Linked DNA regions of Stegostoma tigrinum. The protein of the gene in region 3 purifies or fractionates together with the protein of the main gene of each other region. This does not show direct contact. Links are inferred from orthologs where the notes say so. Each region holds a gene or a part of one and is shown on either strand. Other genes may lie near its edges. The genes, in order: niban2a, ikbkb, kelch-like ECH-associated protein 1 and microtubule-associated proteins 1A/1B light chain 3A.

The links.
Region 1: the proteins of kelch-like ECH-associated protein 1 (region 3) and niban2a purify together in Homo sapiens (affinity purification with mass spectrometry; 3 studies listed by BioGRID and IntAct, with this or other methods). This does not show direct contact. The link is inferred for Stegostoma tigrinum from reciprocal best matches to the Homo sapiens genes KEAP1 and NIBAN2.
Region 2: the proteins of kelch-like ECH-associated protein 1 (region 3) and ikbkb purify together in Homo sapiens (affinity purification with western blotting; 7 studies listed by BioGRID and IntAct, with this or other methods). This does not show direct contact. The link is inferred for Stegostoma tigrinum from reciprocal best matches to the Homo sapiens genes KEAP1 and IKBKB.
Region 4: the proteins of kelch-like ECH-associated protein 1 (region 3) and microtubule-associated proteins 1A/1B light chain 3A purify together in Homo sapiens (affinity purification with mass spectrometry; 3 studies listed by BioGRID and IntAct, with this or other methods). This does not show direct contact. The link is inferred for Stegostoma tigrinum from reciprocal best matches to the Homo sapiens genes KEAP1 and MAP1LC3A.

Annotation. Positions count from the first base shown.
Region 1 is NC_081382.1:18,990,802-18,997,673, forward strand, and holds the start of niban2a (protein Niban 2a), read right to left. Parts: upstream 3,002-6,872; 5' UTR 2,827-3,001; coding exon 2,772-2,826; intron 1-2,771. UniProt on the Homo sapiens protein: May play a role in apoptosis suppression. May promote melanoma cell invasion in vitro.
Region 2 is NC_081393.1:16,072,473-16,079,964, reverse strand, and holds the start of ikbkb (inhibitor of nuclear factor kappa-B kinase subunit beta), read right to left. Parts: upstream 3,003-7,492; 5' UTR 2,823-3,002; intron 2,713-2,822; exon of another isoform or gene 2,598-2,712; intron 1-2,597.
Region 3 is NC_081361.1:41,049,874-41,057,333, reverse strand, and holds the start of kelch-like ECH-associated protein 1, read right to left. Parts: upstream 3,008-7,460; 5' UTR 2,515-3,007; exon of another isoform or gene 2,514-2,514; intron 1-2,513. Other genes in the region: acot11a (acyl-coenzyme A thioesterase 11), read left to right, coding at 5,514-5,520. UniProt on the Homo sapiens protein: Substrate-specific adapter of a BCR (BTB-CUL3-RBX1) E3 ubiquitin ligase complex that regulates the response to oxidative stress by targeting NFE2L2/NRF2 for ubiquitination.
Region 4 is NC_081372.1:12,786,246-12,793,665, reverse strand, and holds the start of microtubule-associated proteins 1A/1B light chain 3A, read right to left. Parts: upstream 3,014-7,420; 5' UTR 2,910-3,013; coding exon 2,870-2,909; intron 1-2,869. UniProt on the Homo sapiens protein: Ubiquitin-like modifier involved in formation of autophagosomal vacuoles (autophagosomes). While LC3s are involved in elongation of the phagophore membrane, the GABARAP/GATE-16 subfamily is essential for a later stage in autophagosome maturation.

The DNA.
Region 1 (6,872 bases), on a different chromosome or scaffold from region 3:
TACTTCATATCATTAGCATTAACAAGTACCCAACTGAAAGCATAGCATTGTAAGAAATTACAGCTCTCAAACTAGTATATTCTGTCCAGTGTGACTGTTTCATAAATATAGCTCATACTGCATTGATTTTTTTCCCCACCCCCCTCTCTGCAATGTAAGCTGGAGGTAATGCTAACAAAGATTACATTCAGTATCAAGAGGTACTACATTCCCCAATGGAAGTCAAGGAATTGTCTAGAACCTCTTTGCCATAGAAGTATTTGGAGAAACCAAAAAAAATCAAAAGTTGCTCCAAAAGGGAGATGATCAGAGAAAGTGACTGTGGCAACTGTTTGGGATCTGTCTTGTGCTCATCGGTTAGAAAGATTCATACAAATGATTAACACAACAGAAACTACCAGCCTTTAGAATTCAAGTAAATTAACAAATTGATGGTATGAGGTAGGAGCTTCTTCAGGTGGTGGTGCTTGTTAACAATTGTCCATCTTCGATGTGAAGGCAACACAGAAGAATTTCTTAACAGACTGGCTAAAAAGCAGCAGGATGTCTTCACAACCGAGATCAATTCACACAATGACAACGCTGGTGTGGCTCCCCCGACTAAGTGAACCAACCTTAACTGTCGTGGCACTTTTTTTCCCCCCCCTCTTATTTAGGTAATGCATCATACCTAACCTACTAAACCTTATACTCCTTAAGTTACATACAAATGGTCAGCTGCCTATTTTAAGCAGGGGTGGGTTCTGAAGCCTAAATCTTAGATTACTCATGTGAGATCTTCAGTACCACTACTACTTCTTCAATTGATGATATTTAATCATTTCCTAACCCCGTCTTTGCACCTGAAGTAATGTTTTGACATATTCCTGATGCCAAACATATCAGAGATGAATCTTCCCTAAACCAAAACAGTTACTGCCACTTCTGAGAAAATGCACAGACGAGTGATAGCTCAATGCTTACTGCAGCTCAGTTGCAGTTCTTATGCTCTAAGCCACACTGCAACATTGACAAGCTGGCAGCATCTTTCTGCATGAGTGAAGAGAAAACAGTCAACAGCAAACAGACAGGCTGTCATTTGTTTTGTCAGCGGCCAAGTCCAGCTCTCACCCATCCACACAGGCCAATATTGTTTTTGCCCAAGTTCAATGCTGCTGGTTGAATAGGTTGAATTCAGACTGGAGAGCCACAAAACAGAATCCACTATAAGTTGTGGGGAAACATTAGCCCTAAGTGATACAGACGAGGACTGTTTTAATTTAAACCAAGGCTTTCTGCCAAGTTAGTCACTCAAATACCAGTGACTCAAGCTAGGAAAGTCACAATGAATGGAAAGTCAGCACTCAGCCACTCCACCATTTCTCATCAATTTCTCATGAAAAGAAAACTCATGAGCAGAAAGACAGACTGGACTTCTGTCTGCTGTAATCAAGGAGCTTTCATTCAGGCTTAAAACACAAACAGGTGCTCACTTTACTGAAATACTAACAGTAACATTAAAACCACGATGCCCTCATTCAAGCTTTTGTTTTTCTAAACTTCAGTCTCCAACAGTGCTCCCGTACTCCACCCTGCATGAAAAAAAACTTAACACACAGAACTTTGGGCAAGACATGGGTGCGGCTGAAAAATTTTATTTCTTGACTACTCCTGCTCATCATTCTCATGGACTCCCATTTCCTCTATACAGAGAGGTTTTACCAGTGCCTTGCGCACAAAAGGCTAACACTACAACCTCCTGAGGTCTGTGTCCATGGAAGAGCTACTGCTGGTTTCCATAATACCTTCACCCACAACCAAACCCCACCCCCCCACCAACAGTCTACCAGCAACAGTACAAACCTTCAACTACATTACCTGGGTGCTTGGAAACCTCTTCTCATGCTGGAGATGAAACATTTCTAAACTTCTGTAAAGCCTACACCACCTTTGACTCAATTCACCAGTCTGCATTGCTGTCTCAGGATATCCTGAAGTCCCAAATAAACAAGTTAACGTTTGGGTGGAACCCAGTCTAACTAGCTGCCTCAGGAGGCAGAGAAGGAGATGCAGAACGTATATTTTTTTTTCTGAAGGGTCCAGACCCGAAACGTCAGCTTTCCAGCTTGTGTTCACCCAACTCTACATCTTGTTATTGCAGAATGTATTTGTTGTTTAATTAGAAACGGTTGCTATCGGATTCCTCCCACGTGTAGTTCACTAGCTGTAATAGGCTGGAGTTGCTAATATAGAAGTTATAAAGATACGAACTCACAGGCTCTATAAAGCAACGTCAAAATGTATTCCCTGTATACAAAGCACATCCCACCCTTTCATTGTACACGTTAAAAAAAAAAGTTACAAAGGGACCTCTCTCCCTGCCCATAACAAAACATCCCTGATAAGATAGAACAGAAACCCAGCCTCGGGTTGCGGCTACTGGTCTTTCTCGCCTGTGTGGTCCATGTAGAAACATGAAGAGACCTTGTGGATCAGGGGAAGGGAGAGAGACCACAGCTCAGCTTCTCGGGCCAGCAGCCTATAGCAGAGCTTCCCCAGAGAACAGCACTGAGCCCTTCAGAATGCTGCCTGTTCCAAGTCAGTTACCATCAAGAAACTGACAGAGCATTTAAGAACAAAATTCTCTCCGCACAAAAGTTTCGCAGCGACAAGGCGATCGACTCGATGCAAATCTTTACGTGAAGTTTGACAAATCTGGAAGGAAAAGCCCAATGCGAGGCAGACAAATCTCTGACCCTACGCCAGAAAGGGCCGCTTTGTTTCCCCCGTACCTGTGATAAACTGTCGCCGGTTCTCATCAAGGTGAGTTGAAATCACATCTCCCATTGCGCCCCACTCTCCGCACAACACTGAATCCCTCCACCCAACACAGGTACAAAGGTTTCCCAGAGAGGCGTGGGTTGAGAGGTCTGTGCTCAGTCGCAGGGAAAAGCTTCTCCAAACACTTCACTCCCCGGTGGACACACCCCTCCCTATTCCCGGTTCAACAAGTTTTCATCTGGGTCTCCCCACAGCCCTCCCCTCTGCTAGGGGTGGGGTTTAAAAATGGCACATGCGCTATTACCTTAAACTTGCTAAAACTACAGCTCATTACCCTATTTTTGAACTGAATTGCAATGTCGGTCGCACGACGTACGCCCTTCAGTCGCTTTTAAAAGAAAGCAAAACGAATAAACAGCTTTAGAAAAACAAGGATTAGACTCAATGGTAGGAAGTCCAGTCTATTTTTTATCCTTTGCAATTCTCTCCCCCAGAGGGCCGGGGAACCTCAGTATTTAGGATATTCTAGACTGAAATTGATAGATTTCCAGATCGGATAGCAAGGGATGTGGCAATATTACGGAAAAATGGTTTGGGGTAGATACTAGTTGAAGCATGCAGTATCGGATGCGATGGATAGAATAGCCTAATTCCTTCCCCAGAAGGGATCTGTTATCTGAGCTTAGACACACAACAATCCGGTTGACTCTTAATCCCTCTCTGAAAACACTCCATGTCCAAATGCAGCAAGATATAGACAATATCCAGGCTTGAGCCAACGAGAGACAAGTGACATTCATGCTGGGCAATAGTCATCTCCAATAAGAGAGATCCATCTCCCCTTGACATGGTGGCGTTACCATCACTGAATCTCTCACTATCATCATCCTGGGGGCTGACATGGACCAGAAACTGGCCTAGCCATACAAATTCTGTGGCTCCAGGAGCAGGTCATAGGCTAAGAATCCTGCCTCAAGCAAATCACTGACTCTGTAAAGCCTGTCCACTGTTAGGAATGTGATGAATGGAATACTCTTCACATGCCTGGATGAATGCAGCTCTAGCAACAGCCAAAGGCTTGTCACCATCCAGCACATCCACAACCTCCCACTGCCGACACCACCGATGTTCAGCAACAGCAGTATACTGCAGAGATTCATTAAGGCTCCTTAGACAGCATCTTCCAAACCCATAGCCACCTTGAAGAACAAAGGGAGCAATTACATGGGAACATCCATACCTGCAAGTTTGTTCCAAGCCACTCACCCTCCTGACTTGGGAATATATCATCATTCCTTCACTGTCACTGGGTCAAAATCCTGGAACTCCCTCCCTAACTACAGTATGGGTGTCCCTAAAACAAATGGATCACAGCAGTTCAAGAAGACAACTTGCCACCACCTTCTCAAAGGCAACTAAGGATGGACAAGAAATTCTGGCCCAGTAAGCAACATCCACATTCTGTGAGTGAATTTATCAAGATGACCTAACAAGCTAGTCAGTTTAAGGGATGGACAATAATTGCTAATCTTTACCAGTGACACTCATATCTCTTGAAAGTGAGACAATATATGCTCTGAATGCTATTGACAAAATGTGACATGTATAACTATTATTCATAGCACAATCTGTTCTTGTTTTTATGTGAAGCACAAGGATACCTAACCTGTTCTCCCGTTTGCTCAACAACATCTGCTCCTCTATTAGGTGAGCCGTCATTGTAATTGAACACAGAGATCACAGAAGGAAATTAACCCAATGGCTGAATGGGAAGATGACATTCCTACCATGTGCTTGTCACAGTCTGTATTTAAATTGATAGCATTAGGTAAAATTAGAAGCCGTGTCAACTGTTTCACTTTTCAGCACAATTTCATTACCATGACATCAATGTAATCACAGTGAAATCTGGGATGGGTGTGGTGTGAATACTGAATTACCATAATTTTTATATCTAGAACAACAGACAAGAAGCAATGAGTCTCAATCCTGTAATTCAGTACAGTAGGGCAAAACCTCTCATTAACATGAAGGTCATTGCTTCTGCACATACATTTGAAATCAGAATTGCAATATCAACTAATCTGCAGATAGTTATTATTAATGTTATCACTATTATTTAATAACACTTTGATACAATATCTCATGCTAAGCAATATTCAGACAAAAATTAATGGAAAACCAAAGAAGTTTTAAAGAGAAGCTTAAAGACCGTAGAAAAGTGTGGAGCTTTATAGCACTCGATAACAATATACTAATAGGGAATTTAATGACATGAAGCAATTAAAGCTGACTGATTATAGACACTTACAGCACAGAAGGAGTCCATTCAGCCCATCATGCCTGGACCGGTCAACAAAGACCTAGCCACACTAACCTCATTTTCCAGCTCTTTGCCCACAGTCCTGGAGGTTATGGCAATGCAAGTGACTCAACTATCCTTCAGGTAGTGAGTTCCTCACTCTCACTACCCTGTGGGTGAAATAAATTCTCTTCACCTTTCCTCTTAGTTTTCTACCTTCAACCTTAAATCTATGCCCCTGGTTATTGTCCACTCTACTAATGGAAACATTCATTTCTATACACTCTATCCACCCCACCTCATGGCTCAGACCCTTTAGACTGGGTAGAATCCTGGTTAATTTCCTTTGCATTAGTTTTAGTGCAGTCACACCCTTCCTATAAATTAATGACTAGAACTGCACGTGGTAGTCTGGTAAGCACCTAACCAGTGGCTTTCGCAAATCCGGCATAAGCTCCCAGCTCTTTTATTCTGTGGTTTAGCGAATAAAGTCAAGCCTCCCTTTTTTTAAAAATCACCTTATCTATCTGCCCTGCTACCTTTGTGGAAGCTATGTGATGTAAGTATGCAGTATATGGTTATTATTTGGGAATTTGAATTGACAAGTGGAAGAAAATAAATTTTAGTTTTTAATTCCATGAGAGCATTTTTTAATAGACAAAGGCCTGAAAGTAATTTTGAGCCATGAACTAAAAATAGGTTTTACCAAGAATGCATGCAACCTAAGCTACAGAACTCAATTAGCTACTTAGGTAGTGAATTGAAGAATATTTACAAAGTTGAGTTTTATGAAGATAAACAGCTGGTCTTGGGCCATTACGCAGGTGAGTTCGTAAAAAAAGAAGTTATCCAAGCAGCAGAGCAGAACTTTTAGTTGGTAGAGTTGCAGAAGGTTATACGTATATCAATCGAGCTGCCAGAGGAGGTGGTGGAGGCTGGTGCAATTACAACATTTGAAAGCCATCTGGATGGGTACATGAATAGGAACGGTTTGGAGGGACATGCACCAAATGCTAGCAAATAGGACTAGATCAGTTCAAGATATCTGGTCAGCATGGATGAGTTGGAATGAAGTGTCTGTTTCTGTGTTGTATAACCCTATAATTCTATGAGTCCAAGTCTGCAGGCTTTGGGAGTTGGTAGAATCTTTAGGTCATCAGATTTAGAAATAAGTATCCAAGTTGTTCGAGTTGAAAAGAAGTATTTAAGCTATTAATCCTTAAAGAAACTCTTGAACAGCTGCAGCAGTCCAAGGAGAAGACTTGGAAAGAGCCTTAAGAAATCACAAAGTTAAGATAGGAATAATACTGGGATTGAGTGACTGCAAAGGGTGTTGCAGGGAATAAGTTTGAATCTTTCAATTTGACACATGTGAAGATTTTTCTCAATGTTTTTGTGTAATAAAGTTGTGTTATTTTGTTAAAAGAACATTGGCAATCTTATGTTCAGTATGTTCAATGACTGACCATCATGGAAACAAAACTGCAAACTTATGATCTATCAAGCCAGGCTTACAAATGAGATCTGACCTGTCTACTGTTACCATCAGCTGGGATCATAACAATAAGAATTTTAAACTTGAGCCATTGAGAGACTGTAATCCAATTTAAGTCAGCAAGTAGAGCGGCAATAAGCAAGCAGAGTTTGTACAGGATAAATTTAGAGCAGCTGTGGTTTGGATACAGTGAAGTTACATTAGGTGCAGGATAACTACTAATGGGAAGCTGATTAGAAAGGCTGAAAATGGGATTAGTAGAAAAGAAGTCTTTGGAACTCCTTGCCACAGAGAGCGGTGGGGGCTGAGCCATTA
Region 2 (7,492 bases), on a different chromosome or scaffold from region 3:
TGCACAGCCATTTAGCTCATCAAGTTCATGACAGTTCCTGACAAACAATCCAGTTATTCCTATTCCCTGTTCCTTAACAAGCATCCTCAATCTTTGCTCCAAGTAATTCTGCAGTTCACTTGTGCAAAAAATATTGATTCTGTTTAAAGCAGCCCAAGACTATTCATTCCAAACCCAAATCAGTTATTGCAAAATAACTTTTCACTGTGTTCTTTTGTTAGTCACCTTGAACTTGTGCCACGTGGCTACTGAATCTTCAACCTCTTTCTTTAAAATTTACATAGAACATAGAACATAGAACATTACAGCACAGAACAGGCCCTTTAGCCCACAATGTTGTGCCGACCATTGATCCTCATGTATGCACCCTCAAATTTCTGTGACCATATACATGTCCAGCAGTCTCTTAAATGACCCCAATGACCTTGCTTCCACAACTGCTGCTGGCAACGCATTCCATGCTCTCACAACTCTCTGCGTAAAGAACCTGCCTCTGACATCCCCTCTATACTTTCCACCAACCAGCTTAAAACTATGACCCCTCGTGCTAGCCATTTCTGCCCTGGGAAATAGTCTCTGGCTATCAACTCTATCTATGCCTCTCATTATCTTGTATACCTCAATTAGGTCCCCTCTCCTCCTCCTTTTCTCCAATGAAAAGAGACCGAGCTCAGTCAACCTCTCTTCATAAGATAAGCCCTCCAGTCCAGGCAGCATCCTGGTAAACCTCCTCTGAACCCTCTCCAAAGCATCCACATCTTTCCTATAATAGGGTGCCCAGAACTGGACGCAGTATTCCAAGTGCGGTCTAACCAAAGTTTTATAGAGCTGCAACAAGATCTCACGACTCTTAAACTCAATCCCCCTGTTAATGAAAGCCAAAACACCATATGCTTTCTTAACAACCCTGTCCACTTGGGTGGCCATTTTAAGGGATCTATGTATCTGCACACCAAGATCCCTCTGTTCCTCCACGCTGCCAAGAATCCTATCCTTAATCCTGTACTCAGCTTTCAAATTCGACCTTCCAAAATGCATCACCTCGCATTTATCCAGGTTGAACTCCATCTGCCACCTCTCAGCCCATCTCTGCATCCTGTCAATGTCCCGCTACAGCCTACAACAGCCCTCTACACTGTCAACGACACCTCCGACCTTTGTGTCGTCTGCAAACTTGCTGACCCATCCTTCAATCCCCTCATCCAAGTCATTAATAAAAATTACAAACAGTAGAGGCCCAAGGACAGAGCCCTGTGGAACCCCACTCACCACTGACTTCCAGGCAGAATATTTTCCTTCTACTACCACTCGCTGTCTTCTGTTGGCCAGCCAATTCTGTATCCAAGCAGCTAAGTTCCCCTGTATCCCATTCCTCCTGACCTTCTGAATGAGCCTACCATGGGGAACCTTATCAAATGCCTTACTGAAGTCCATATACACCACATCCACAGCTCGACCCTCATCAACTTTTCTAGTCACATCCTCAAAAAACTCGATAAGGTTTGTAAGGCATGACCTACCCCTCACAAAGCCGTGTTGACTGTATTTGATCAAGCCATGCTCTTCCAGATGGTCATAAATCTTATCCCTCAGAATCCTTTCTAACACCTTGCAGACGACAGACGTGAGACTTACCGGTTTATAATTGCCGGGGATTTCCCTATTTCCTTTCTTGAAGAGAGGAATTACATTTGCCTCTCTCCAGTCCTCAGGTACGACTCCAGTGGAGAGCGAGGATGCAAAGATCTTCGCAAGTGGCGAAGCAATTGCATTTCTTGCTTCCCAAAGCAGCCGAGGACAAATCTGGTCCGGGCCTGGCGACTTGTCAATCTTAATGTTTGACAAAATTTTCAGCACATCAGCTTCCTCTATCTCTATCCATTCCAGCATGCACACCTGCTCTTCAAAGGTTTCATTCACTACAAAGTTCGTTTCTTTCGTAAAGACAGAAGCAAAAAACTCATTTATGCAATGTTTAACAGTTTCAAATAACTCTATCTAATGCTCTGTTCATTTTCTGTGCTGATAACAATGACAACTGATGACACATTCCACCAATTTATCAACAATCAAGAGGAGATTGATGGGCAATTGGGGGTAGGGTGGGCATCAGGTGTTGTAATTGGCCGAGTTGGTTTGTCTTGCTCTTAGCGCACAAGACATAACTGGACAATTTTCCACACTGTCAGTGTAGCAGCTGCACTGGAACAGCTAATGACAAAACACAAGTGCTTAGTACTCTTGTTAGAATATTGACAGTGCCCACAGCTCTGGCTATAACAATGCCTTTTGCGATTTCCTGATATTGTACAGAGAGACAGGAATGCATTGGTTGACAGAGATACCATATTTACTGATGTGGATGGCTTGGCAGACTGAGAGACAAGGGCACACTAACAGAATGAGATTCAAAAACACAATAGTAGACTGAGACACTGACACACTGGCAGAGTGAGACACTGACAGATAGGGTCACACTGGTAAATTCGGGCTCAGAAAATAATTGGCAGATGGAAACTCGGGGAGACACTGGCAGACCGAGAAGTGTGGCCACGATGCAATCTGAGATTATGGGAATCACTGGCTGACTCAGATAGGACACACTGGTGGACTGAGAGAGCAACTTCCTGTAACCCGTCCCTCTAGATATGCTGAATATGAAGTCAAGACAAGCCAATGAGTTCTTTGACCGGTTTCCCTTGGGTAATTACGGTGAGAGATGATTTTCTCCAATGACTTGCAGCAAACCCACGGTAAAGTGGAGATTTAGACAGACGCTAGGAAAGGTAAACGGGTCGCGGGGCGGGGGGAAAGTCGCTTACCCAAGGCACGCTGCGGGCTGGGGTCTTTCTGTGTCTCTTCTTCACTCTTTCTAGAAACTTCAGAACAGAGAATTTGGATTTGATCCTTTTACAAGGTGGTGTTTCTGCCGCCCTCCTCGAATTTACCCCAGAATGTTTGTAATTCTCGCCAAACTCAACTTCCGGGTTCTTGCCCGGGGGGGAAATGTCATCACATGGTCCAGGTTAGCGCACCCTAGCAAACTAAACTAATCCGGGTTAAATTCAGTAGCTAGCTTTAAGTAACCCGTTTCATTTAAAACAACCCTAGCTAACTAAATTAGCCTATATTAACTAATCCGGGATAATTATTTAACCAATCTGGTTAGTTTGTACCAAATTTGGCAGACTAAAATCATCCCGATGAGCTAAATAAAATCAGGGGAAAAAAACTGTGGGTGCTGGAATCAGAAACAAAAATAAAAATTGCTGGAAAAGCTCAGCAGGTCTGGTAGCATTGTGGAAAATTCTGGTTTTAATCCTGATTGATTAACCTTGGCTAATAACTTTATTCTGGATTAATACAACAAATCCAGGCTAACTGAACAAAAACTGCATTGAACTCTGCATTCAAGCTCAATTCAAGCTGTTTTAACCAAGACCAAACAAACTCATCTGCAATAACTAAATTACTGCTCTGGTTTTGGTAACCTGGGCTACAAGAATTAATCCAGGTTAACTGAATTAGCCCAATCCAATTGTAACGAACTACATTAACTCAGTAGAGATAAACGCACCCGGGGTTATCTGAACTGACACTGGCCACTGCAATCAACTATTCCTGGGTAACAAACACTTGGCTGGAGGTAAATTTTTAATGTTTGTGAACTTTCTGAAACAGCGCGAATGTAACATGTTCAGTGTGAGCACTGCCATGTATCTCCTACTAAATTCAAATTTACAGGCCAGCATTACTATTATAGGAGGAAGAAGTGCTCAGGTTAGATATCTGACTGCTGCAAGGCCTATTCAGTCACCAATGAAACAGCGTGGAGCTGGAGGATTATAGCAGGTGTGGCAGCATCAGAGGAGTAGGAAAGCTGAAGAAGGGTCCTGGCCCAAAACATCAACTTTCCTGCTCCTCCGATGCTGCTTAGCCCGCTTTGTTCCTCCACCTCCACACTGTGTTATCTATGACTCCAGCATCAGTAGTTCTTACTATCTCTGTTCAGTCACCAGTTTGATTGAGGAGTTAGTTAACCCCAACGTGCAATCTCCCAAGTTTAAACTGGGACAGGCACAGCCTGGTTAGCTCCCCCTACACTGCATACCACCTGATTGAAACATTACTGTTTCACGGTTGTAGTTACCACAATTATTTTTCTTTATCCCTTTCTGGGATGTGGCCACTGCTGGCAAGGCCATTACTTATAGTGTATCCCTAATTGATTTGGAACAGTGTGGTTTGTTGGGCCATTTCAGGGAGCACTTAAGTACTGACCACATTGCTATGAGTTTGGAATCTTACGTAAGCCAGATGAGGTAAGAATGGCAAATCTTCTTCCCGAAAGGGCATCAATGAATCAAACAGGATTTTGCAATAATCACTTGATTTCCAGCATCCAAAGTTTTTTGTTTTCTTTTAAATCATTGATAGTAGTCGTGGACCCCATTCCATTGAGTTTGTCTTTCGGCTGAGAGCATTCTCCTTTTGCCAGTCTGTTATCTCCATGTCATTCTGCACATGCATCTGTTGGGGAGGAGGAGATATCAATTATTCACCCAAAAGCCTTTAAATTGTGCAGATTACATCTGTATAGAATATATGCACACGGATAATATGCTTTGGAGGCCGAGAATACTGAGATATTAGCATCCTTAACAACCCACCTAAATCACACTAGAGATGCTACACAAACCATTCCTTAGTGCAATGTAAGAATAACTACCATTGCAATGATAAATGTGTGGATGTTCCTCAGCTGCCTGCATGATCTGGACAGATCCAAACCACCGATCTGTAGAGGTCATTCTGCAACCAGAAACAGAAGAGGATGTTCTTTATTCTCTTAATCAGATGCTGTGTTCTGATCTGAAACAAAGAAACCAAATTAGCAATCAATGTATTTGACAATCAAGTAGTTTATGACTGGGGCTGATGAGGGGCACTGGGATCATACGGTGGTAAGTATCCTGTGCAGTGACTGCAGCGACCTCAGTTTGGTTGAAAACCACATCAAGTAGCTTATCCTATGTGCAGCTCAGGAGTCAATCCTGGACATAGCAGTTGAAGTCTAGCAGCAGATGCATTCTGAACAATTGGTGAGAAATTATGTCTCTTCCAACTCAAGTCAGGGACTCCATCAACACAATGCCACAAGGTGGTGTAAATTAACAGCTGAGATGATATTCTAAGAAGCTGAAAAACTTGGCATCAACAATGGCATGGAGGGGTTTGGTTAAAGAGGTGGAATATGGCTTTAAAGGAAGAAGCGAGAGAGGTGCAAAGGGAAGAAATTCCAAACCATAAGGCCTTGAAAACTGGCTTTTGAAAGAGAAAAGAGAGATGTATCAGTAGTAAATTTCTGAATTTAAGTTGAGAACAGCTGAAGTCAAGTCTGTCCATGGTGAAACAAAAGGAGGAGGAGGAGATGAACGTTTTTGGCAACTAAATTCCATCAGACTCAAGGGATAACAAGGTGTAGAACTGGATGAACACAGCAGGCCAAGTAGCATCTTAGGAGCAGGAAAGCTGATGTCTCAGGCCTAGACCCTTCATCAGAAGCTGAAAAAGGACCCTCCATCAGACTCGAAGTTGCTTCCTGATTTATTGAAAAATATTCAAGATATCATGCTGGATTATAATGGTGATAGCAATAAATCAAGTAATCAGTGTTAGTAACTTCTACCTACAGTAAAATTAGTTAACTTTCTCTTTGAACCAGTGGATAACCAGTATCTCTGAGTCACAAGCTTTGAGTGTCAGTTCTATACCAGGTGATTGAATGCTTGGAGATCCCCTCATATCTTCGTGGTTTTCATTGTTCCGCACCCAACCCTTGGAAAGCCAGACCACTACAAGGTGTGGCTGACAGCTGTGCTGTAGGTACACAATGTAGTAACGTTTTAACACACACATCCCCAATCTCATTCCTGACCATATTAAGCAGAGAAATGTTGGACTTGCATTGTCTGCAATTTGAAATTGTGATTAACATGTCAATGTCTGATCAATGAGTTGCTAAGACTGCTCATAATACAACCATTTCCCCTTCTTCTATCCCATCTCTGGTAACCTATTAACTAGCGCAGTGATTGGTAATAGTGCTGCAGGAATATTGAGAGAGAGCAGAATGAGGTGACAGGAAGATAGAGGATACACAGGGAGGCTGCAGTGGAGATAGAATGCAAGAGATGTGGGCATGGGGTTTATCCTCCAGAACAAAGGCCTCAGTGCCAGAGAAGAATAAAAAGGGAAAGCTATTCCTCCAAGCTATAGAGAGAGCCCACTGACTGTCAAGATCTCAGGACTGCAGCGTTATCAGTTCAGTTGGTAGCCATCTAGCTGCTGAGTTAGAAGGTTGTCTATTCAAGTTCCAGCAGCTACAGCAAAAGTACTTAGCTGATTTTCCATTGCAGTACTGAGGGAACACTGCACTGTCGAAGTACAGTCTGGGGGAAATCACTATAATGTCAGAGGGTCAGCTTTGAGGGCTTGCTTCACTATTGGAGGAGCAGAATTAAGACAGTGTTACACACTTGGGGCATCAGTACCTGAATAACTCTGCACTGTCAAGGGCAGTATTAAGGGTAATCAGCCAGCTGGAGTGACAATATTGAAGGAGTGCTGCACTATTACAGGGGCAGCGCTGAGGGACCACTCAACTCTGATAAATGCAGAAACAGAAATATGGGGCCTGGTGCTGCTCATGGCTTAGATCTCCAACCTTGGCCCCATACCTAGCATGAGCCAAGTGACCCTGCCCACAAGTTAAGCACAACTATCCCATCCACACCCCCCAACGCAAGCTCAACAGACCCCAAAAGTTTCCGACTCCAGTTATTGAGCCCTGATGTGCCTTTGTCCTCAGCCCTGACCAGTACCTTGGGAATGGTGCCCTATCAGAGTAAAGTATTGAGAGACCGATGTTGCAGGAACAGTGTAAGAGAGTGTTGCAATCTTCCAGGAGCGGGATTGAGGGAATGTACCATGAGGACTGAACTTTGGGAGGGGCTTCATTAAGGGATTGCTATACTGTTGAAGTAAAGGTCTGAGGGAGCATTGCGGAAGTATTGCACTGTTGGAGGGTAGTACTGAGACACCATTTCTTTGTTGCAGAGACAGTACTGAGGGAGTGCTACACTGTTGGGAGGTTAGTTCTGAGAAAGTGCTGCACCACTGGATGGTCAGTTTAGAGGAAACATTTCATTATTGCTGATCAGCACTGATGGAGCCTTGCACTGTTGCAAGGACTGGACCGAGGGAAAAATTGCACTGTTGGATGCACTGAATTTTGGATGAAACGTTATCTCGAAGTCCCATTTGTTCTAACATATGGGTGAGAATCCAAGGCATTGTTTGAAGAAGAGCAGGATGTTCTCAACAACCAGAACTTTAATTATCCTTCATCCAACATCCCTAACAAAGACATCTGACTGTTTAACTTATCGCTGTTTGTGAGGGCTTGCTTTGTATTTCCTACATTACAACA
Region 3 (7,460 bases):
CAGTGTGTACCACCTACAAGATGCACTGAAGTACCTCACCAAGATTACTCTGACATGGACACGTAGGACCTCACTGGCCTCTGCCTAGTCTTCAAGCCAGCTCTGCCATTCTAGATCACAGTTGGCTACCTATCTCCATATCACTTAATGTCTTTAATAACTCAATCTATCAATTTCTGACTTATTTAATGACTGACCTCTGCAGCTCTGATGAAGGGTCTAGGCCTAAAACGTAAGCTTTTGTGCTCCTGAGATGCTGCTTGGCCTGCTGTGTTCATCCAGCTTCACACTTTGCTATCTTGGATTCTCCAGCATCTGCAGTTCCCATTATCTCTAAGGTAGAGTTCTCCTTGGATCAGAGGAGACAGAAGGAAACCTGATTGGGACCTACAAAATTATGAAGGGCATAGCTATGGTTGAAAGGAATAACACATTCCCTTTAGAGGGGTCAGTTACCAGGTAGGATAGATTTAAAGATATGATCTCCAACTTGATCAATCACAGAGTCTGACAGTTAATTACAATTACACATGGTCGCACCTGTCTCTGATAGTCAATTACACTACTCACCCATGTTCCCTTGGTGTGCCCGTCTTTGACAATCGGTCACACTACCTGTCCATATTTTATCACTGCACCTATCTCTGACAGTCAATCACACCACCTGCTCATGTTCCTCATTGCACCCTCACTGATAGTCAATCACATTACCTGTCCATGTTCCATCACTATGCCTGTCTCTGACATCAAATCACATAGCCTGCCCATGTTCCACATCTGCACCTGTCCATTACAGTTGATCTCACTCCCACCCATATTCCCTTACCAGGCACACATCATGCTTCTGCATGACTTTCATTTCTGGAGGCTATGTAACTACTGAAAAGTGCATGTTCTGAGCAAATTTTACCAGCTTGTTGCATTGTGTTTCACTTTGGTCCAGTTGGACTATTATTGCAGAATAATATAAGTTTTGTAGTGGCAATACAAACAAATGAATAAGAAATATGAGGAACTGATGTGTGAAACCAGAATATTATAGTACCAGAAACGAAGGAGCCTGGACAGCTCATCATGTGCATGTGGAGCTATGCTCCACTTCCAATATCCAAACAATGCAAGCAAACCAGGTGCCACAGAAACAACAGAAATGACCTCCTGTGCCTCCACACTTGAAAGCAGCCAAAATATTCTGGATGTTTCATAGGCCTACCTGTAGCATGACCAGCAGTGGAGTGACATCATGACATACAGGATGAAGACACAATAATGGATGATGAACCTGGACTAATTACAAAAAAAATTTAAAATATACAACTTCCATGTGGAATTGGAAAATGAATTTCTGTCTATGATAAGAGTGTTTGCTTATAGATAGAACCAAAGTATATTGATCAGAAAAAAGCTGAATTTGGAAAAACACCACACAACATGTACAGTAAATTCAGGGATAGTCTACCCTTGAACAGCACACTTTGGACAAATAGAACTGATGAGCTGAAGTCTGTTTTGAAAGCTAAACAGTCTTTTTTTCCCAAAATCAGCAGCAAAAGATAAGGCCTGCAAAAATACAATAAATCAATCACAGATGATGACATAATTAGAGAAGCAATGACATGGTTGCTGACTCTTTAATCAAAGACAACAACAATTAAGATAATAAAATGTGAGGCTGGATGAACACAGCAGGCCCAGCAGCATCTCAGGAGCACAAAAGCTGACATTTCGGGCCTAGACCCTTCACCAGAGAGGGGGATGGGGTGAGGGTTCTGGAATAAATAGGGAGAGAGGGGAAGGCGGACCGAAGATCTTCTTTTCTCACCATCTTCGGTCCACCTCCCCCTCTCTCCCTATTTATTCCAGAACCCTCACCCCATCCCCCTCTCTGATGAAGGGTCTAGGCCCGAAATGTCAGCTTTTGTGCTCCTGAGATGCTGCTTAGCCTGCTGTGTTCATCCAGCCTCACATTTTATCATCTTGGAGAGAAAAGAAGTTAGGTGGAGAGGAGAGTATAGGTGGGGAGGTAGGGAGGGGATAGGTCAGTCCAGGGAAGACAGACAGGTCAAGGAGGCGGGATGAGGTTAGTAGGTAGGAAATGGAGATGCAGCTTGAGGTGGGAGGAAGGGATGGGTGAGAGGAAGAACAGGTTAGGGAGGCGGAGACAGGCTGGGCTGGTTTTGTGATGCAGTGGGGGAAGGGATGAGACTGTAGTCCTTTGGGGATGATCCGGTTCCGTAGGCAGGTGCTGAGGAAGGTGATGTGACTGTGGTACCTGGTTTGCTTCAGGACATGGTCGAACAGTTAGAGTAGACAAGTGCTTGGAGAGACGATGATCTGAAAGGCTTCTTTCCATGCTCTAACACTCTAAACCTTTATTTGAGAACCAAGATTTTAATGCCGTACCACACAATTCCAAGCAACTGTAAAGAACACTCCAACCCACCAAACACTCCCATCATCTCAGTACGATCTGGCGGACGGTGGGGGTGGGGGGGAAATCAACCTGCAACTAACCTGACTGGTCGTCGGTCCTTTTAGACAGCGAAGTTTTGTTTTGGGAAATGGAGTATGCTGAACGCACGTCCAGTCGTTTGCAAACAGGCGGGGATTTTGCTGGAGTGTTGTGCTCATAAATGGAACCGCTGTCATCAAATCGGGCGTCCCAAACGGAGACCACAATTCTGCCTTACCGTTCTGAATGAGACTCCCGGTGATCAGGCGTGGACTCTGTTCACTTCTGCACGGACCCTGTCAGACCGCCTGGCACTCTGATTTTATGTCAGATCCTCTTTAACTCCGCGCACCGCATGATCCAAAACGAAATCGGAAACCGGCCCTGCCCGGTGCCGTTCCGCAGCGGTTAATAACGGCTGCAGTGACTGATGTGAGCGAAGGTGGACGCTGGGGAAATTCACTGACAGTTTCCATGGAAACCCGGCCTAGGAGACAGGAAGCGCGAAGGCGGCGCGCCCGCTGTCCCACACCCTGAGGCTCGGTGAGTAACAAGCAAAGGCCTCGGGCTCTCAGGCTCCTGGGCAGCCCACGGCTGTGATCCATTAGATGAGCAAATTTTGGTCACGGTCTTGTGCTACCTGATCCCGCGGTTGCAGAGCAAGATAAGAGTAGGCCGCCTCCTTGTTCTCTAACCTCCTCCCCCCCCCCCGCTCAGTCCTGACCCTTCCCCTTCCCCTTAATGCCCCTTGTCCCCTCCAGGTATTGATGAAACCCAACTCCCAGGTGAGGGGTTAATGCTGTAAAACTGAGCGTTTTATATATACTTTGTGCAAACTATTCAGAAATGTTATTGCACACCTTTGGAGCAGGTGGGACTTAAACCCAGGCCTCTTGTCTCATAGGTAGAGACGCTACCGCAAGAGATCCTCGGTGATTCTGACGTTTCACACGCTTCAAATCTGCCTGAATGTTTCCAGCGTTTTCCGTTTTTATTTCGTGATACGCAATGCGTTTGCTAGAACTTTATGATCCTCTTACTTTTCTTACCCGCTGCTAAGTGAGGATGACTTTACTTTTAGGCTTGGCAATTTTTAAATTTTGAGTTGCGTTTAGGTATCACCAAGTGAACTGTTTTTGAAGTTCAGCAGTTGATGCAACATGGGGAACGTGCTGCCCAAATTTGCGTTCAGCAAAATTTAACCTGTGACACACTAAACTCATGATCAGACAACCTTGGTAGCTCAGTGTCATAATTTGATTTTGTAAAACTCCTGTGAAGCACTTTAAAATGTTATTATCTGAAAGATGCAAGTTATTTGTATCTGTTCTGGTGGTATTTGGTTGAAGGATTGATATTTAACTTGACAGCAAGGGAATTCTGTTCTTTATAAGGTACAATGAGATTCTTCCGTCAACAGGGAGGGAGAGCCTAAATGAATGGATCATTTGGAAATTGGCATTTCTGTTTGTAGTGCAATGTTGTCTCTGTACTTTGTGAAAATGTCAGCCTAGATTCTGTTTGTTGCCTGAAGTGGGGATTGACTGTACAGTCATCTGACTTACAAACATAACCATTAAAGTAAGCCAGTCTGACATCAAATAGTCTGTTTATCTATTGTACATGTTGACTTGGCTTGTCAGGATTTCAAAGAAAAAAGTTGTGTCCCTTCTTCAGTATTCAATTTCCCCTTCCAATTTAAAATTTTTTAAAGTTCCCCTTTTAAGAATCAAGTCCCAAAGTTATGATTGTTGCTTTTTCACCACAAGGTTTGTAGTAGTTCAAGAGGGGGTTCATTATGACTTTGTCAAAGGCAATTAAGGGTGGTGACTGTGAATTACAAAGTATGAATAATTAAAACAAAATCACCACAAATCTACCTCTCCCTATTGCTCATTGCTCATCTGTCTTTGTATGAATTGCTGACAAATCATGATTGTTGCTTTTTCCTGAACTGTTTACATCATCCCTTGGAAATAAGGTGACCAAAACTCCGCAAAAAGGTTGCGTTGTCAGTGCTGGTCTAGCTAAGGTTGTGGTGAATGTAACCCCTCAGGAAGCTGATAGTGACGGATTCAGCAGTGGTAGCACCATTGTCTGTTGAGGGAGATGGTTGGATTCTGTTTGGAGATGGTCATTACCTGGCACTTGTGAGGCATGAGTATTGCTTGCCACTTATCGACCCAAGCCTGAATTTTGTCCATCTTCTACTACATAAGGCCCCAGACTGTTTCAGTATTGGTGGGTTTATGAATGGTCAGTATTCCACACCAATCACTAATGAACATCCTCCAGATGAAGGGAAAGTCTTTGATAAAACGGTTTTATAACGATACCTGGGCCTTGGGCACTACCTAAGAACTCCCTGCGATAATGTGCCAAGGTAAATGGTCTCTATGCTAGGAATAACTCAAACCAGTGGAGTATTCTGATTCTCATTGACTTTCATTGTAATAACTTCATTATTTCCTGTTTAGCAAAAGCTAAATTGAAATTAACAGTTCACCAGAAACATCAAGAATAAAGACAAAGTTGAACATCAGGGAATAAAATTTTCACATCTGTTTAATCAACCTGTTCAAACATGTTATGATGCACCTCTGGAATAGAAGGATCTTAACTATGGTCTTCTAGCCCAGATGTAAGGACACAGACCCTTGCACAAAAGACTATCGGTAACATTCTCAGAAGTGTATTAGAATGTGGAAGGTTGTGCACTACTGAATAGAAGCCTGTAACAGTTTAGAAATGCATTGTTTAACTATTTGAAAAGGAAGAGTGTAAGAAGCAAGGACAACTGATTTGGATTAAGATTAGATTGCTCTATTTGCAGACCTAATGGTAACCATTACGGACATAAGTTGAATTAACCTAATAACTGCATGTATGACACCAAAGCAGTGAAATATTTAATTCAAAAAAAATTACATCTATTAAGTGGTTATACTGTCCTCTTTCATTCAAAAACTAATCTGCAAGTTAACCTGTCAAGACCTGTAAATGGCCTCCTCTACATTGTGGAAACCAAACGGACGCTGGGAGACTGCTTTGTGGAACACCTATGCTCGGTACGTAACAAATGACCTCCCCTCCCAGTCACGAACCACTTCGACTCCCCCGACTCCCCCCCCCCCCCCCCCCCAACTCCTTGGATGATATATCCATCCTGGGCCGCCTCCAGTGCCACAATGATACCACCCAAAGGTTGCAGGAACAGCTCTTCATATTTTGTTTGGAATCCCTGCAGCCCAATGGTATCAATGTGGACGCCACAAGCTTCAAAATCTTCCTGTCCCCAACCGCATCCCAAAACCAGTCCAGCTGTCCCTACCTCCCTAACCTGTCTGTCCTTTCTTCCACCTACCCACTCCTCCCACCTCAACCCTCACCCCTACCTCCTACCTACCAGCCTCATCACTGCCTCCTTAACCTGTCTTTTCTCCACCTATCTACTCCTTTATCCATCATCCATCTGCCTCCCCCCTTCTATTTATTTCAGAATGCCCTTCCCCTCCCCCATTTCAAAAGAAGGGTCCAGACCCAAAATGTCAGCTTTCCTGCTCCTCTGATGCTGCTTGGCCTGCTGTGTTCATCCAGCTCTACACCTTGTTATCTCAGTAAATTTAACAGTTCTTTTTCTTCCTCTTTGTTTTTATCTCTGATATATTCTTTCTGCCGGTAGACTTGTGCAGTCTTTATTCATGTTCAGATCAAACAAGTTGGAACTCGGGCAGCACACTGCATGGCTCTCTAATGAAGAATAAACATACCTTAAATTCCCTGTCACAAAGTGAAACTGTTGCTTGAACTCAGTTCAAGACATTCCCTCATAGTGCAAGGCTGTTACTTTGGTCTGGTATGAGCAGAGTCGTTGAATCCCTACAGCGTGGAAGGAGGCCATTCAACCAGTTCACAATGACGTTCTGAAGAGCATCCCACCCAGACTCTCTATCCTTGTGACCCTTCATTTCTCATGGCATTCTACCTAGTTTGCGCATCCCTGGACAATTTAGCATGGCTAATCCACCTGACCTGCACGTCTTTGGATTGTGGGAGGATACCCACACAGATATATGGAGAATGTGCAAACACCACACAGGCAGTCAGTTGAGGCTGGCATTGAACCCGAGTCCCTGGCGCTGTGAGGCAGCTGTGCTCACCATTGAACCACTGTTTTGCCCCTGACTGGATAAGGTTGTCCCATTTGAAGTGATCTCATTAGTTATTCAGCTAAGATCTTGGGCTGTGAGACATTATTTTGCTTTCCACTTTTCAGTTACTAAAGTGATTCATGAAATACCGTTCTCCTTTAAAGTAATAGCTCAGAATTGATCTTGTAAGAAAAAATGTTTTGGCAGACAGTGCAGTGGTTGACAAAGATTAACGAACCACAAGTCTTTCATTTACCTTCAATCAAGTGAGTTTTTAAGTAAATGCAGACTTATTAGTAAAGTAGACACCAAACTGTTTTAAATGGTCACGTTTATAGGCTTTATAATTGCTCAGTTCGTTTCCAGTTTGTTCAGTGGTAAATGTACCAGCTGGTACACAGTTGAATCATGAGACGACAATTTTATCTGTAGTTTGTGGTCGCTTAGGTTCTTGGACAAGACAGCAGTTTGCAAGCTACAGTTGTCTTCTTGTTTATGAATGCTATCCATGGATGCTGTTGTTAATACACTGGATGAGGATGATGTTGAACTAGGCTGCAGTGCTTTCCCTGTGATTCAGTAGGTGAAAAATGATGACTAACATGAAGATAGCTTTTTCACAGTTGTACCTCGACATGCGTTAATTACTTGATTTTCCAGGATAGCTGCTGTTTAGAACTAAACATTTAGAAACAAATTTTAGACGTACTCAAATGGAAATGTGAGGTTTGCATGCAGTTTTAAGATTTGTTTAGAAAAATATTTCAAGTGTATACTTGGACATGTGTGCCAAGCATGGGAGGGTGGATTAATGATAGTTATTTTCAGTAAGGTGTTTTGATTGTAAAGCAGAAGTA
Region 4 (7,420 bases), on a different chromosome or scaffold from region 3:
AGGGTATTGAATGAGCTCAGTAGAATTCTCTAGAACTAGTTGAGTGGACCAACGTCCTTTCCTGGAGAAAGGTAAAGTGGGTAGTCCAGCAAGGTCACTGTATTGGATAAGGGTTAGACATTGTTAGACTTTCCAGGCACTGGGTGAGGTTGGGGGTCTCCTTTGGTCAAACACATCATTATGGGGAGATAGTGGCGATGTGTTGTTGTTACTGGTCTGATCATCTAGAACCCCATGCTCTAACTGACCACAGCAGTTGGTGAACTTAGAATTCAACAAAAATCTGGAAGTTATCTTAATGCTGACCATGAAGGCACTGTCAGTTTTCTGTGAAAAAACCCCATCTATTTCATCATGCTGTTTAGGGGAAGAAAATCTGCCATTGTTACCTGGTCTGGCACACTTGGTCTCCAAACCACGGTGGCTCAGTGGTTAGCACTGCAGCCTCACAGCAGCAGAAACCCTGGTTTGATTCCACATTTGGGCGACTGTGTGCAGTTTGCACATTCTCCCCGTGTCTGTGTGGGTTTTCTCCCACAGTTCAAAGATGTGCAGGCTATGTGGATTGGCCATACTAAGTCGCCCATAGTGCTCAGGGATGTGTAGATTAGGGGGATGGGTCTGGGCGGAATGTTCCGAGGGTCAGCGTGGACTTGTTGGGCTGAATGGCCTGTTCCTACACTGCAGGGATTCTATGAACTAAAGACCCACAACAGTATTGACTCTTTACTATCCTCTGAAATGTCAGTCCAGAGCAATTCGGGATGGGCAAGAAATGCTTGATGCCCACCTCCCGTGAATGAAGACAAGGCTGTCCAAGATCAATTCAAATGGGGGAGAAAGGTGGATCTGCAGAAAGGGTGCACAACACAGTACTGTATACAGCTTCTGCATCATGAGTTAACATTAGCTATGCACCAATATCTCCCTAGACCAGGTGCAGTGTTACTCCAAAACAGTATAGTCAATGCATTTGAAAGCAAGGTGAAGGAAGGAAAGTCCTTCAAGGGTCCAGTAACCTCCAGATCTTCATTCAGAAAAACTGAAGCCAGGGAAATCAACAGAATATGGTGGTGAACAATAAGAGCCCAACAAGACTTTCAGTTTTGGCAAAGATGATTGCAGCTTCCAAGTTAATTAACAAGGCCACGTCTTAAGACATTAAGAAAGTTGTAGTTTCTTAAGTGAGTTTGATAAAATGTAGTAACACTTAAGTGTCTCCTAATTGATTTATTAGATCATTGTGTTTTTCTGCAATATTTCTGGTCAATGTTATGGAGCATCTAGATTTTATAGGTAGGAGCAATACGTATACACTCATGTTGAAGGAGAGAAAAAATGCAGTATTGAAAACTACAACATAGTGATACTGGTCAGAAAAAAGATGTTAATTTACATATAGCCATTCCACTAAGTCTTGTTTTACCTAAAAAGAAGGAAATTACAGATTTTTGTGAAATCTGAAATCACCTTAGAGAAACAAATAGGGTTCAACTGCCCTGGTGATAACCCATCTCAAACTAGGCCTCAACTCAGTAACTGTCATAAAATAATGATGGTTTCAATTATCTCCAATATCTGCAATATTAGTGTGGGAAAGCCAGAACATTTTATTCCCTCAAAGTTGGCACATTGCAAATGAAGAAAACACATTGAAATCTGAGTCTCTGAGGGAACCCTAATTAGCTCTTATTATTTTAACTAATAAATACATTATAACCTATTGCATATTCACCATTTGTCACACTCTTAACCTAAACTGTCATTTTTCTTTAATGGTAATTGAATTAGTGACTCAGCCATTAAACAGATAATAGAAAAAAAAATCTTGTCAGCGCCAAACATGTAACTGAACATAATGATTTCTGCCTTTCTTTTCGCCAAACACAGAACGAGTTATCCTCGGAGTTTATTGTAGAGTTGTAAAAATATCTGGGCCAAAATTTAACGATTGAATATTTTAAAACCCCCAACGTTTATTGCAGTACTCAATGACAAATCATTTCGTTTCTTTTTAAAAGAATCTATTGTTAAACATAAAACGACCAGATTATCCAAACTCAAAACAGAATGTCAAAATGTTCTAACTCGTTTTCTAACCAACAATTCAAAACGTAAAGATCTGTAAAGTTGGAGGCAGGAGATGAATTTCCATTGTTACCAAAACAGGGTTTAAAAAGGGGCGATTTTCCTGTAAAAATGGCTTCCAAAATATGAACAGAACAACAATAAACCTTCACGTCCTTCAGGAAGCCCTATCCCACGAATTATCATAAGGATAGCTTCAGACACTGTTACAAAAACGACATATCGATCAATGATTCACAAATATTAGGCAGATTCATTTCTGACATTGAGAAAAAGTGAGGAAATAATTGAAATTCACTTCAACACCAACAAAAAAAAACATCTTTTAAGTACAAAGATTCTGAGGATTAGGGTGCGTGCACGCATTGTCCTCAGGCCACCCCGATCTCCAGCGCGCTTTCCCTTTGTTAAACTACTGGCGACGTTTCCATCCTTGCTGCCTGCAACCGATCCCTATTTTCTATCTCTCCTCTCGCTACCCCCTCCCCCTTCTCGCTCTCACTGATCTGCCTGTGTCCTTCTCGCAGCTGTTTAAAAGAATCCACACCGGTATATCCCCTCCGCCCCCACCCCAGTCAGCTGAGAGAAGGTCAAAGGCAAATTGGAGAGAAAAAGAAAAACAGCAACAGTCCCGCAGAGAAAGGGGGGAGGGTGGTGCTGCGTGGAGGAGGAGAGACAGGGACACACATACACAAGTCACACTCTTCCCCAAGTGGTATATTTCTCCCCCTTCTCTCTCGGTCGGCCTCCTCTTTGCTCCCCGCGCTGCTCGACCACCTACCGAAGCTTCTTCTCTGTTTGAATGACTTGTCAGAAGGCATTTTCTGAGCAGGAGAACCCGAGAATAATCAGCTTAAGCGGACGGTGCAGTTCCTGATGTGTCCAAGCACAGAGCGATGTAACAAACCGCATCACGTGAACACTTTGACGTCAACGCAAAAGATACTTCAAGGGGAGGACCCGGGGAAGAAAGTGACAAGTTCTCCAGTGTTCAAACACCACCCCCACCCCACATTCCTCTCACAAACACCACCACCCCCCCCCGCCAAACACACACAAAGGGAGCAGCACACTTCATCGCTTTGTTTTCGGTTGAAGACCAGCCGTTGAACGGCATTCGAACGAAACACAACAATCTCAACTTAGATCATATTTACATTCAACGACAAAAGATTGTTACAGTTATCATGAGGTGTCGATTTTAATTTTTACGGAATTGCTCGGCAGAAGGTGTGGACTTATGTCCGCTTGCAGTGATAAATGATAAAATATCACGCCGTTCGTTGATCTTAGTGGACACACGGAATAGTTTTGTTTACTTCACCTTTAAAGCGTGGTAGGGTTTTTAAAAACAAAGCCAGAAATTGCTGGACAGACTCAGCAGGTCTGAAGAAAGGTCACTGGACTCGAAATGTTAACTTTTTCTCTCTCCACAGACGCTTCCAGACCTGCTGAGTTTCCCCAGCATTCTCCGTTTTCGGTCAGAGATCTTGGGATTCTCTGTTTTTGTTTGTTTCAGCTCCTCACCATCCGCGGTTCTTTGTTTTTAGTTTATTTTCCTTCCCTGGTGATTCAGTGTTTGGGTGAGGTCACAGGTCCATTCGGAAGATTAGTTAACGCTTTGATGTGATACTGAGAACTGACATTGCTGAAGTGGTTTAAACCTTCATCCGCCGTCTCCGCGGACTGCCTTAAAACGAAATTTGATAAAGATTACATGGAGAAGATGTGGCGGAGACATAAATTGAGATCCTAAATATAAGATCATCGCCACTCCAGTAGATAATTAAAAAGAAATGACTTTATCCAGAGCATGCAGAGCCGAAAGGAAGCAATTAACTCAGGGTTTTATGAAATTGTTTTTTGAGATGAGAGTCACTAACAAGGCCAATATTTATTGACAATTCCCAATTGTTTCTGACCACCACTTTCCTGAACCATTGCAGAGGTGCACCACTTGTGCTGTTTTTCTGTAGCAGTTTTGTGCAACTTATTAGATTGCTACAAAAACAGAAATTATTTGAGAAACTCAGCAAGTCTGGCAGCGTCAGCAGCTTGGACTCAACGTGTGAACTCTACCTTCTCTCTGCAGATGTTGCCAGGCCTGAGTTTTTTTCCAATCATTTCCTGTTTTGTTCCAGATTTCCAGCATCCACAGTTTTTTTGTTTTATTTTGGTAGCTTACGAATTCATTTCAGAGGGCAGATTAATCAGGCACAGTACTGTGGGTCTGTAGGCTAGGCCATGTCAGGTTAAGACAGCAGATATACCCTCCTCTGGAAAAATAGCATATTTCCTTTTAACAGAAAACAAGTGCTGGAGATCACAGCAGATCAGACAGCATTCATGGAGAGAAAATGTTTTGAATCTAGATGACTCTTCAATAGAATTTGATTTTAATATAGCGAAACAGTAGCTTCATGTTTGTTATTAACAATTTCAATAAAGACTTACAAATTAATTAAATTTAAAATCTGGTTACCAAGGCTGAAATCATACTATTGGAGCAGGCCCCGAAGGGGCAGCGGGATATGCTGCTCAAACAGAAATGAATGCAATGACTCTCTGATGGGGAAGATGAAGCAGGGCAGGATGAGGCTTATTTGAAGTTGAAACAATGGCACAACCCAATTGGATCAAATGATCTATTTCAGTGCTGTCATTACTGGGTAGTTCTGAGTCAGGTTATTGTTCCATTTATAGCTCCCACCCACCTCACACTGCCCAAATTCCACCCCAGGTGCAGACTAAACCACCATTCTCACCATGAAGTGTAATTCTTGTTTAACTCCATGAAGGATGAGAACTCACCAGGAGGGAATAGTTTTGTCCATGCTGCATTTTTACACAGAGATCACAAGATGTAGAGCTGAATGAACACAGCAGGCCAAGCAGCATCAGAGAAGCAGGAAAGCTGATGTTTCGGGCTGAGACCCTTCTTCAGAGAGACCCTTCTTGATTCTCCAGCATATGCAGTTCCTTCTGTCTCTGAAACAGTATTTTTATATGTCATTTTTACCAGTGTTTGTTTCTCTGCTGTAAAGCCCAGACGATAAATATCAGATGAAATTAACCTGTATCTCATATACTGGATTTTACAGCAGGTTACTGCAATGTTTTACCACATTCACAGTGGCACTTATGCTTAGTTGAATTTTGCATCGTCATCTGGAAATAACTTGGCAATATCAGACCCTCCATGATTAATCGTCGTTCATGTGAGGCAGGATGTGTGTTAGCAGCTGTACAATAGAATTAGTGTGAGATCTCATTTCAGGTGGAACTATGATTTTTTTTAATTCTTTGCGCAATAGACTCAGAAGTATCTTTCTGATTAATTGTGTGTTAATTGTGTTCAGATGATGGGCATTAACTCTGACAGGAATTGAATCTGTATGGATACAGACTAATGCTGCATGATTTTCATTGGAAGTCATAGAGATATACAGCACAGAAATAGAGTCTTTAGTCCAATTCATCCATGCCAACCAGACATCCCACTCTGACCTAGTCCTGTTTGCCAACATTTGTCCCCTATCCTGCCAAACCCTTCCAATTCATTCCATCCAAATGCCTTTTAAATCTTGTACCTGCAACAGCCTCCACCACCTCCTCTGGCAGCTTGTGTCATGTACGCACCACCCTCTGCATGAAAAAATTGTTCTTTAGATCCCTTTTAAATCTTTTCCCTCTCATCTTAAACCTATGCCCTCTCCTTTTGGGCTCTCCCACCCTGGGAAAAAGACTTGGCTATTCACTGTAATCATGCCGCTCATGATTTTATAAACCTCTATAAGGTCACCCTCACCCTCCGAAACTCCAGGGTTAAAAGCCCCAGCATATTCAGCCTCTCCCTATAGCTCAAACTCCCCAGAGCCAGCAACATTCTTGTAAATCTTTTCTGCACTCAAGTTTAATAACATCTTTCCTACAGTAGGGTGACCTGAACTGCACACAGTATTCTAAAAAGTGGTCTCACCAATGACTTGACCTGCTGCAACATGATGTCCCGAATCCTATACTCAGTGCTCTGACAACTGAAGGCAAGTGTGCCAAATGCCTTCTTCACCATCCCTATCCACCCACTTTCAAGGAACTATGCACCTGCATGCCCTAGGTCTCTTTGTTCAGCAACCCTCCCCAGAGCCCTAACATTAATGTACAAGTCCTGTCCTGCTTTGGCTTACCAAATTGCAACACTCGAGTTTAAATTAAACTCCATCTGCCACTCCTCTGCGCATCAGCCCATCAGAACAAAGTTCCAGTGTGCTCCGAGATAATCTTCTTCGTTGTCCACTACACCAGTTATTTTGGTGTCATCTGCAAACTTAACTAACCATGCCTCCTATTTGTATAAATGATGAAAAGCAGTGTGTTGTATGCTCATTCTGTATAAATCTGTAAATAAATATAATAGTGTGTGAACATTGGTGCCAGTTCTATCTTGCTTCAACTGGCTTTCACAAATAGAACATCCCTAACATCTTCATAACTTACACAAATGGCAAAAATGGTCAACAAAAAGCTTCAAAGGGATAGAACTCAAAAATGTTTGCTTTTATGTAATGCTTTTTACACCCACCCACAGAAAGTATCAAAGAGCTTTACAGCCAAATCAATACTTCTGAACCAATTTCACTGTTGTAGAAATTGTGGGAAAAATGGCAAATGACCTGTGTGGGTCAAACTTTCACAAACAGCACTCTGAACATGACAAGATAGCCTGTGTTTTGTGATATTGATTGAGAGATGTGTAAACATTGACAAGACACCTGGGTCTGAAGAAGAGGCAAGAGTCATACTTGAAATGTTAACTTTGTTTGCCTCTGCACAGAAGCTGCCAAACCTGCTGAGTTTCCCAGCAATGTTTTTATATGAGTGATAACTTTACTGATCTTCATCAAGTTTGTACTCTGGGATCTTTTACACCCTCCTGTCTGGCAGCTAGAGCTACAGAGTAATGTTTCATCACAGATAACTTCGCCAAAGGCAGAGAAGCTAAATGCATTTGTATAAAATCAAACTACTGCCGATGCTGGGAATTTGAAATTTAGACAGAAATGCTGCAGAACTGTCAGGCAGCATCTGCGGAGAGAAAAACAGAGTTAATATTTTGAGTCCAAGACGAATCTTCTTTGGATTGTGATGCTTCTTCAACAGATGCTACCTGACCCGTTAAGTCCTACAGCACTTTCTGTTTTTATTGCATTTATATAGCGCTCTTCACAGGAATTGTTGAAATATGGTCACTACTGTAATGTAGAAAATATACCTGCCAATTTGCACACGGCGAACTCCCACAAACAGCAAGGTGATACTTACCAGATAATCT